Linked DNA regions of Mus musculus: region 2 is reported to be linked to region 1. Evidence: microRNA targets listed by miRTarBase, many of them from high-throughput screens and not tested one by one. Region 1 holds a microRNA gene; the other region holds the end of a gene's coding sequence.
Evidence for each region. Region 1 holds the annotated microRNA mmu-miR-290a-3p (AAAGUGCCGCCUAGUUUUAAGCCC, at 1,317-1,340, shown strand). A microRNA usually pairs through its seed, bases 2 to 8, with sites in the 3' UTR of a target mRNA and lowers its output. Matches are read on the target gene's strand: a 7mer-m8 pairs with bases 2 to 8, a 7mer-A1 pairs with bases 2 to 7 and ends in A, and an 8mer does both.

Region 2: miRTarBase lists Arid4b as a target of mmu-miR-290a-3p. Seed matches in the 3' UTR shown: 7mer-A1 at 3,867-3,873, 8mer at 3,749-3,756 and 7mer-m8 at 2,766-2,772.

The regions. Positions count from the first base shown.
Region 1 is chr7:3,217,358-3,221,749 of GRCm38, forward strand. Mir290a (microRNA 290a) reads left to right here and starts at 1,269; the gene lies at 1,269-1,351. Nlrp12 (NLR family, pyrin domain containing 12) reads right to left here. Exons shown (of 10, transcript NM_001033431.1): 10 at 4,153-4,392. Mir290b (microRNA 290b) reads right to left here and starts at 1,338; the gene lies at 1,281-1,338. D7Ertd143e (DNA segment, Chr 7, ERATO Doi 143, expressed) reads left to right here and starts at 1,427. Exons shown (of 1, transcript NR_028425.1): 1 at 1,427-3,658. It also overlaps Mir291a, Mir292, Mir292b, Mir291b, Mir293 and Mir294, and 1 more gene.
Region 2 is chr13:14,197,239-14,201,630 of GRCm38, reverse strand. Arid4b (AT rich interactive domain 4B (RBP1-like)) reads right to left here. Exons shown (of 24, transcript NM_194262.2): 24 at 2,028-4,025. The coding sequence ends at 3,898. Among named protein-coding and RNA genes, the nearest start is that of Gm26129, 110 kb to the right of the region's middle.

The sequences.
Region 1 (4,392 bases):
AGAAAGAAAGAAAGAAAGAAAGAAAGAAAGAAAGAAAGGTAAAAAAGAGGGAGGATTTGAAACTCTGGATTTAAAAAAAATTCAAACGAAAGAATAAACTGAACCTCCCACATTCTTCCTTTATTTATTTTTATTATTATCTTAATACTGAATGTAGCCCTGCCTAGTCCCGTGCCTAGTCACCATAGTAGACCAAGCTGGCCTTGAACTAACAAAGATCCTCCAGCCTCGGCCTAGAAAACTATAGGATTAAAGGCGCTGCTTCTAGAAACAAACAAAGAAATCTGTTTCCTCTGGGGGGTGGGGGGGAGAAGAAACCAGTGAAGGTCACTCTGCCGCAGGGAAACTCAGCTCAGAGGAAGCAGGGTGGTAGAGTAAGGATTCTCCGGGGTGGGGGAGGGGTATCAGAGCCTCCCAGTCCAGGGGGCCAATGAGCCTTCAGACTATATAAGAACCTAGAGCCTCCCCCACGCCTCTCAGAGACTTCTACTCCACATCGGGAATGCTGGTCTCTGCGGTCTTCAGGGATACCTCCGGCGTGCTGCTTCTCACATAGGCAAAGGTAATATTTTTAGTTTCAGATTTTTTATTTCCTTCAGTTCTGTGGTTTTAATCTACCTGGTTTAGAGAGGCGAAAGTAGATCCAGGATTTCCAGAAGAGAGATCTTCCTGCTTCAACTTTGGAGATGACTAGCCAGGCTGGCCTTTAACTCTCATTTCTGCCTGCCTCTCTGCCTCCAGATTAAAGGTCATCACGGCCATCTTCATTCTACTTTTTAAAAACTAGAGCCCCTTTTTTAAAAGGCAGGCTAGCCGCGAACTCAGCCTTCCTCGCTCGCCCCCACGGTTTGGCTGGGTTTACTAATCCCGAGGCAGAGGCAGGCCCATCTGAGGTTGGTCTGGTCTCCAAAGAAGACATTTAGAACTAATGTGTGTGGAAAAAGAGTTGGGCTTTTTTTTCTGACTTGGTCTACATAATTTCAAGGGAGGAACGAGCCTATGTGGGGAAAGTGAGTAGTCTGGGCGCGAGTGAAGTTTGGGGACCAGAAACCAAAGCTAGGAGTTACTGAGGGCAGGTCTAGGGAGTCTATGCAGTACATTTCATTAACTACGTGGTTTCATTGTAGAAATTTTGAGTTTCACTATACCTTGAGTTAGACCGATGTACTAACTCTTCCTTGATTTCATCCAGGTTTCCTTCAGGTTGGAGTGAATTTTAAGTTCTCCACGTTCTTTCCTCCTGGTAAATGTTTTAACGTCTGGACCGCCTCATCTTGCGGTACTCAAACTATGGGGGCACTTTTTTTTTTCTTTAAAAAGTGCCGCCTAGTTTTAAGCCCCGCCGGTTGAGAAAACGGCTATCTGGCACATTTACCAGCCCTGGTGCCACGTGTTCCGGGTTAACTGCAGCGTGGTGAGTACGGATTCGAAGAAAGGAATGAGACTGAGTATAGCGAAAGGCTAGGGATGGGCATCCTGCCCAGTAGACGGTAACTGAGGTGGTCGTTGTAGGGTACCTGGGGGCTCCATGTGCGTCCTGTCGCTGCTTGGAGCTGTTACACCTATGTAGCGGCCATCAAAGTGGAGGCCCTCTCTTGAGCCTGAATGAGAAAGTGCTTCCACTTTGTGTGCCACTGCATGGGGAAAACATCATAGCTTTGCATCTGACGCATCGGTTTACAGGAGCGGACAACCTGTGTGGGGGTTTAGGCTTGGAGTTTAATGGGTCCTATCCTAAAGAGGGCGGTTCAGTTGGGTGCCACGAGACGCGGATGGATGTAAGGCAGTCGTGAGTCCAGGTGCATTGTAGATTGTTCTTAAGCTTGACCTCCAGCCTGTGATACTCAAACTGGGGGCTCTTTTGGATTTTCATCGGAAGAAAAGTGCCGCCAGGTTTTGAGTGTCACCGGTTGAGAACTCAAAACGGCTAAGAACTAAGAATTAAGTTTTAGTGGGTCATGTTTTCACTGGGGTTGCATTTCTGGGCAGGTGGGTGTCACATGTGGGTTTGAGTCCGAACACTTGGGCGCATGCGGTACTAAAGGCTTTCCGCGTTCATAAAGGAGCCGGGATCCCACATGGGCCTCGCTCGGAGGAGCTGAGCCTCAGGTCTTGGAAGTTGGAACATACAGTGTCGATCAAAGTGGAGGCCCTCTCCGCGGCTTGGCGGGAAAGTGCATCCATTTTGTTTGTCTCTGTGTGTACATGGCGTCTGAAAAGCCGGCTGCAGCTGCAACCTGGAATCGCTTACCTGCTTGAAACAGGTATGTGTGCTGGAGGTGAATTCGTTGCCACTGGCTACTCGAGCTGCAAGGCTGGAGGTGAGGAGGAAGCAGGGCAGGGTGGAAGGAGGCACTCCAGGTCCAGGGGTGGTGAGTCTAAGCCTCAGGTCTGAGTAAAGAAAGGCCTACTTTTAAATCTCACGTGGCCGCCATATTAAGTCCTCTTTCAATTTTTTTCCTTTTTCTCCAAACAGGGTTTCTCTGTAGCCCTGGCTGTCCTGGAGCTAACTCACTTGTAGACCAGCCTGGCCTCAGCTCCATCCACCTGGGATTAAAAGATCCTATATATCTTGCTTGACTACTGTAGTTGCTATATCTTGCTTGACTACTGTAGTTGGACTGATGGTTGTGAGTCTTGATATGGTTGGATTGAATTTTTAGGACCTGCTGGCTGTAGCTGACTTTAACCTGGCTCCTAGCACAAACAAGCTTGGTGGACAGCCGGGTAGATAATACCCATAATACCTTTTGGCTTTACAATAGCCCAGGCTCATGAGGGCTGGGATTACAGGTGTTACATTGTGTGCCCTAAGCATAATCTTCATGGATTCTCTTTGTTTTTCAGGTGTTCCAGTTGAGTTGAATGTAATCCTGCCTAGCCTGGGGTACTTACTTGCCTTCAACCTGCCTGGCTGGCTGGTCTGGCTAAGAACTGACTATAAAGTTTCAGGTTTATTACCACAGCAGGTCCCTGTGGAAATGCTTCAATCTGTGGTACTCAAACTGTGTGACATTTTGTTCTTTGTAAGAAGTGCCGCAGAGTTTGTAGTGTTGCCGATTGAGAAACTGCAGTTGGCCTAAGTGTTGCATCATTTGGGTGTCATCTGTGGGTATGATTCAGTCTGTAATGGGGCAAAAGTAAAAGCTGAGGTGCACGGAACCTCACGGGAAGTGACCCAGATTTGACAGGTACTGTATTACATATAGCTGCATTTATCCTTTTGGCATTGAATAATCCTTAATCTTCAGTTCAGTTGTAGGCATGTTTGGATCTAGCGAAATTCCATATAGCCATACTCAAAATGGAGGCCCTATCTAAGCTTTTAAGTGGAAAGTGCTTCCCTTTTGTGTGTTGCCATGTGGAGAAAGCATCGGAACTTCAATCAACCAGAGACTCCTTGCTTGCTCATCTTGGTGAGACTCAAATGTGGGGCACACTTCTGGACTGTACATAGAAAGTGCTACTACTTTTGAGTCTCTCCTGTGGGCACCATTCACAGGTCGGCTGCTTTCATGCATGTGTAGTGTGTATCTGAATCCAGATGAAGGTTTCCTGGAACTGGGACATGTGGGTGCTATTGAATGAACCAAGGTGCTATGGGAGCAACCAGTGCCCTCAGCCTCCAAACATGAATAATAAAGTCTTGTTCTCTTGATTTTGCTGCTTTCTCAGTTTTTGTTTTAAAACACCCGCCATGGTTCCTAGGGATAAAAAAAGCTTGCAAGCATGCAAGCACCCTTTTAATCACTGGGGTTGAGACTAAAGGTAATCCTGGGCTATACAGAAAAACCCTGTCTGAAAAAATCCCCAAAAGTTAAACCAACACATAGCTGGAAGTGTTTTCAACAGTAATAGGGCACCTTTTGGGAGACACCCCTGTTTGCCTCTTGGGATTTAGGCATGCCACCCCTCCAATGGTTTTAAGGAAGAATTACCCTGTACTAGCTTAAAGGTGCCTTTAAGCATAGCCACATTTAAGCCCACATTTGTTTATATACTGTGAGTCTTTTCCATTTCTATACATCATGGCCAGTTCCTTTTAGTGGAGTGTCTGGATGGTTACAAGCTAACCTGAAATGGGGTGGTGCCAGGTTTTAAAAAGTAGTGGGTTGGGGAGCAGGGTGTGGGGGAGGATATAGGGGACTTCTGGATAGCGTTTGAATTTAATATAATAAAGGTAGATCTCTGGGTACTGTACTGGAAGTGGGCGGAGTTATCCCATTATAAGTGGTGGAGCTACCACGTGGTTGCTGGGAATGATGTCTGCCAGGCCTCACTAGTGTCAGGTCGTGAGTCATGCACAGCCATGATTTCTGCATCCTTGGCCACCTTGCTCAGTTTTCTGGAGTGTTGAGATTCAATGCGAACACCACCACAGCTGGGCAAAAT
Region 2 (4,392 bases), not on the chromosome of region 1:
TACAGGAGTTACCCGCTAAGCCTAGTCCTAAAGGGACACTTGGACACAGCTCAGAGATTCACCTGGAGTCATCATGAACACTGGTGGAACTCAAGGGGGAGACCTACACCGTCACCAAGAGAGTACTGGACACCCTGCAAGCTGAAACCAGCCTGGCATTCCACAGGGCTCTTGATAAGAACACAGATACATGGCTCTGAAATAATGCACACCACTCACCCCCCACTCCAGGCCCTTTTTTTCTCTTGTGCTCCTTCCTTCCGAAACCAAGTTTAGACCTGAGCTTCCTTGAACGGCCTCAACGCAGAGTCCTCACTTCCGGACTCCCACGAATCTCACGTTCCCTCTGGTCCCAAGTTCCAGTCACTTCCGAGATGGGGCCTTGTCCCTCCATTCTGAACCCTTCTCCAAGCAGGCTGTGGCTGATCGGGACTCAGGAGCTGGGGAACTGATGGTTTAGGTCTCCTGTTTGTCGTGCTGCCCTGAGCCGATTAGGGAAACCTGGACTTGGGTGTACAAGAAGTCTGAAAAGCTGGCCATGAGCATGCGATCATCTCCTTATGGGTAAGTTGTAGGCCAACTTAAATTGACACGTCAATGATCAAACTGCAGCAGAGTGTGTACATTCCTCCTAGCCTGTTCAGACCTATTCTCATGCCTCAACTTCATGGTTTAGATGTGATGCATCGAAGCTCAAGAGTATTAGGTACAGGAGTCAGTTGGATCAGGTACAAGTTCACTGTCCTCATTCTTCAAGATTGTCTTCAAAAGCAAGAGCAATTTCTGGCCAGGAACCCACCTCTGTTCTGCCAGCCATCAGTATTACGTGCAGCTGGGGAAAGGAATACTAAAGAGAATGACAAGGGCCATGCAGCACTCTGTTGAGACTCCCCCTTTGTCGGTCCTTGTTTTCTTACCTGTGTAAGAGGAGAAAGGCAAGCTATGGAGTCTTGAAGACTCCTGGGCTCTGACTGAAACACCATCGAGTTTGTGCTACCACCCCCTTCCTCTCAAGTGGCAGCACATTTTTTGATACCTAACCCCCGCACTGGTTGCAGTGATATAGTACAAATTTGTTAGATGACTTTCAAGACCCTCTGACTATAAGCCCATCTCTTCCACTTTCTTCCTCCTTAAGTGCCACAATGAACATATTTGGGAGCAAGTGGCTTAAGGCCAGGTGTAGTGTACACACCTCTAATGCCTACACTTAGGAGGTAGGGGCAGGTAAATCTGAGTTGAAGGCCAGCTTGGTCTATATAAGAAAGGACTCTACACTGAGAGATTACAGATTAAATTGCTTCAGTGTTTTTTTTAAAAGATAATATACAATATATCAGGTAAATTAGGGCACCTTGGAAATGGGGAGAGGCATACTGGCTGGTTTAACAATGATTACTGGATTCCTGTAACAGGTACAGAGGTGTTACTCAAAGCAGAGCCAGAAAGGCTCCATCATATTAAATGACAAGAGACACTGTAGGTAATAATTCTGAGAAAAATAAAATTTTTTAAGAAACTACTGGTCTATAATACTGGCACTTTGAGTCTCAGGCAGAATTGAGAATCTGTGAGACTGAAACCAGGTTGGGCAATATAGCAATTTTATTCTCAAGAAAAAGGAAAAACAAGGTTTGTTTACTGAGACAGACTCCGTCTGTAGCTCAAGATCTAACTGCCTCAACCTCTTGAGGCTGGGGATTACAGGTATGGGCCATTATACACTGCAGAAACATCCTTTTCTATTGTGTATTTTGTGTATGTGAATGCAGAGGATAACTGCAGGAGACAGTCTTTCCTTCTACTATGTGGGTTCTAGGGATTGATAAATCAAGATTGGTCATCAGTGCTTACCTCTGCTAGCCCCAAAATATAGTTTTAAAATTGTACTTACCTTTTTCCTTCTTTGGACAATGCCCCCCTCCCCCCAACTGTAACAAAAAAATCTGTATTCAGACTCTAGCAAAGTTATATAATAACAGCCTAAAAACATCACTTTACTTACTTTTTTTTTTTTTCTTTTTTTTGAATTTACGGTTTGATTTGGTGCAGTGCTGCGAACTGAAGCCAAGGACTGGAGCACACTAAGTACATGCTATACAACCCAGCACTGTATAAAGGGACTTTTAATTTTGAACAGCGGAACACTCCCTTTGGGATACGGATGTGAGCCCTTGTGATAGGTAATACAGGCTGCATGGACTCTCAGCACTCATCACATACAAAGTGAACTCAAATTACTTTACCTTCTACAAACAAAATCAAGGATTCACAAACTATGGCATTTTATTTCAGAGCTTTTGCTTACATTTGTACAATATATTACATAATTCATCATGTTTGCAGATCCTAATATATACTTTATAGTTTTATTCTATAAGTTTTTTCTTCAACATTTTGCTGTCAACAAATCTTTACAGTCTGTACAAATTTGAGTAATTTGAAATCATTTTTCAACAAAATTAGTTACTGTAAGCACACATTACAAGACTGAAAATGCTTTTCTTAGAAAGGTTCAATGTAAAGGATTAAGGATTCTGACACGTTAGCATCTACAACAAAACGCTTCGAGATTCTCACATGTATTGCCAGAAAACAAATAAAACATGCCAGCCTCATTCAAAAAAAGCACACAGAATCACAATTAAAACAGTAAAACGGTCTGTACAGTGAAGTACTGTGTATTAACAGCGCCAGGTTTTAAATAGCCTCAATGAACACATCCGCAATATACAAATGTATTACAAAGGTGGGGAATTAAATACAAGTGCCAAACAGAGATTGGAATCATACAACATAAAGTCAATACAAGTGAAAACAGCTTGGCGTTCATTCTGCAGTTTATACAAGGCATTGAATTGTATAGGCCTACTACCCAACTAGCTACTTATACTTAAAATAATAACCATCTTTGTGAGGCAGGTCATATAAACAACCTTGAACCATTCTAACAGTTTGTTCCTGAAGTCTTTTTGTTGTAAGCTCATAATAAAATAAGCAATACAAATGAATTATCTGTATTTAAGGGAAAAGAAACATTTACAAGAAAACACAAAAATATAACTGTTATAATTCATTATGAATAAATATACACTTTGAACTGGCTAAGTACAATCTTTATACATTGTTTAAGATTTAATACAGTTTATTAGCCATTTTCTTTTTTCACACAATGTATTATATCAAAATTAAAAAAAAATACTGATTTATAGAAAAATGGCAAAGTACAGTAGTCCCATTTCAATTTGAAGGGGTGTGAAAAGCCACCACAGACCTTTTAGCCTAATTCAAACCTGTAAACATGTTCAGTCATTTTTAAAGAGAATCTTTAATATTTGGTTACCAGGATGATGTCTAATAATATCCTGTTAACTAACTGCAAGTCTTGAATTTGTTACATGTGCTTGACTTATACAATTAAAGTCACCCTAAAGTGACTTGCTTTAAAAAACAATTAGCTTGTACAAATGAAAATAGGTTCATATTTTTAATAAATGAATGGAAAAATATCAAATGTTCCAGCTTTAACAAAATACAAGGGAATACATATACAGTAAGTCTTCTCACATGTTCTGGCCCACCTTTTCTCTGCCTACTGTGTCGTCTCTACAGGCAGTGAAAAGCCTCCTCTGCCACAGTGGAAGGCCTTCAAGTTACCAGACACACGCAATTCCCAGACAAGTTGGAAACAATTATTGCTTGAGGAAAAGCAGTTCGTTGTACTTTTTCTTCATAAAAAAAGTGCACTTAAGTGCCAAGTCAGCTTGTCAAGAAATAATTTTTAAATATAAAATAGTGCTTGTCTGATTTTGTGTGTTTGTGTGCCACTGTGCAGTATAAAAAAAGATGTGGCCCTCAACAGCCATTAAGTGCAAAGTGCTCTAGCAAGTCCTGCTGTCACCTGCACTCAACTGACATTCCATTCTGTGATGCACTGGACATTGATGGTTCAGCTAGTGTCAACATAACAGCAGCTGTGATGGAGCTGGACGAGGGAGAAGAGGAGGAAGAAGATGTAGCAGCACCTGAGAAGAAGGAAGAGCACACGTGAGGCTACAAAGCAGGCTGCACTGGGAAGATGCAAAAAGCTCACTCAGCTTCAGCCTAAACTTCTCTTGTGTTCTCCAAAGTCAGTGTATAGGAGCCATCCCTGCACAAAGTACCACAGTATAAAGAAAGGGAAAGCCAGCAGCAGACTGTTGCCCATCTGCAAACCACAGACGGCAGAGCTCAGTGGCAACGGACTTGATGGGATTACAAGGACATTGGTTCTATTCCTAGCCCTGTCAAAGGAAAAAGAAAGCAAGGTGGAGAGGGAAGAGGGAGGGGAGGAAAGGATTTGTGTATACATACTGCAGAACACATAATTAAAGAGTAACTTTGTTCACTAAC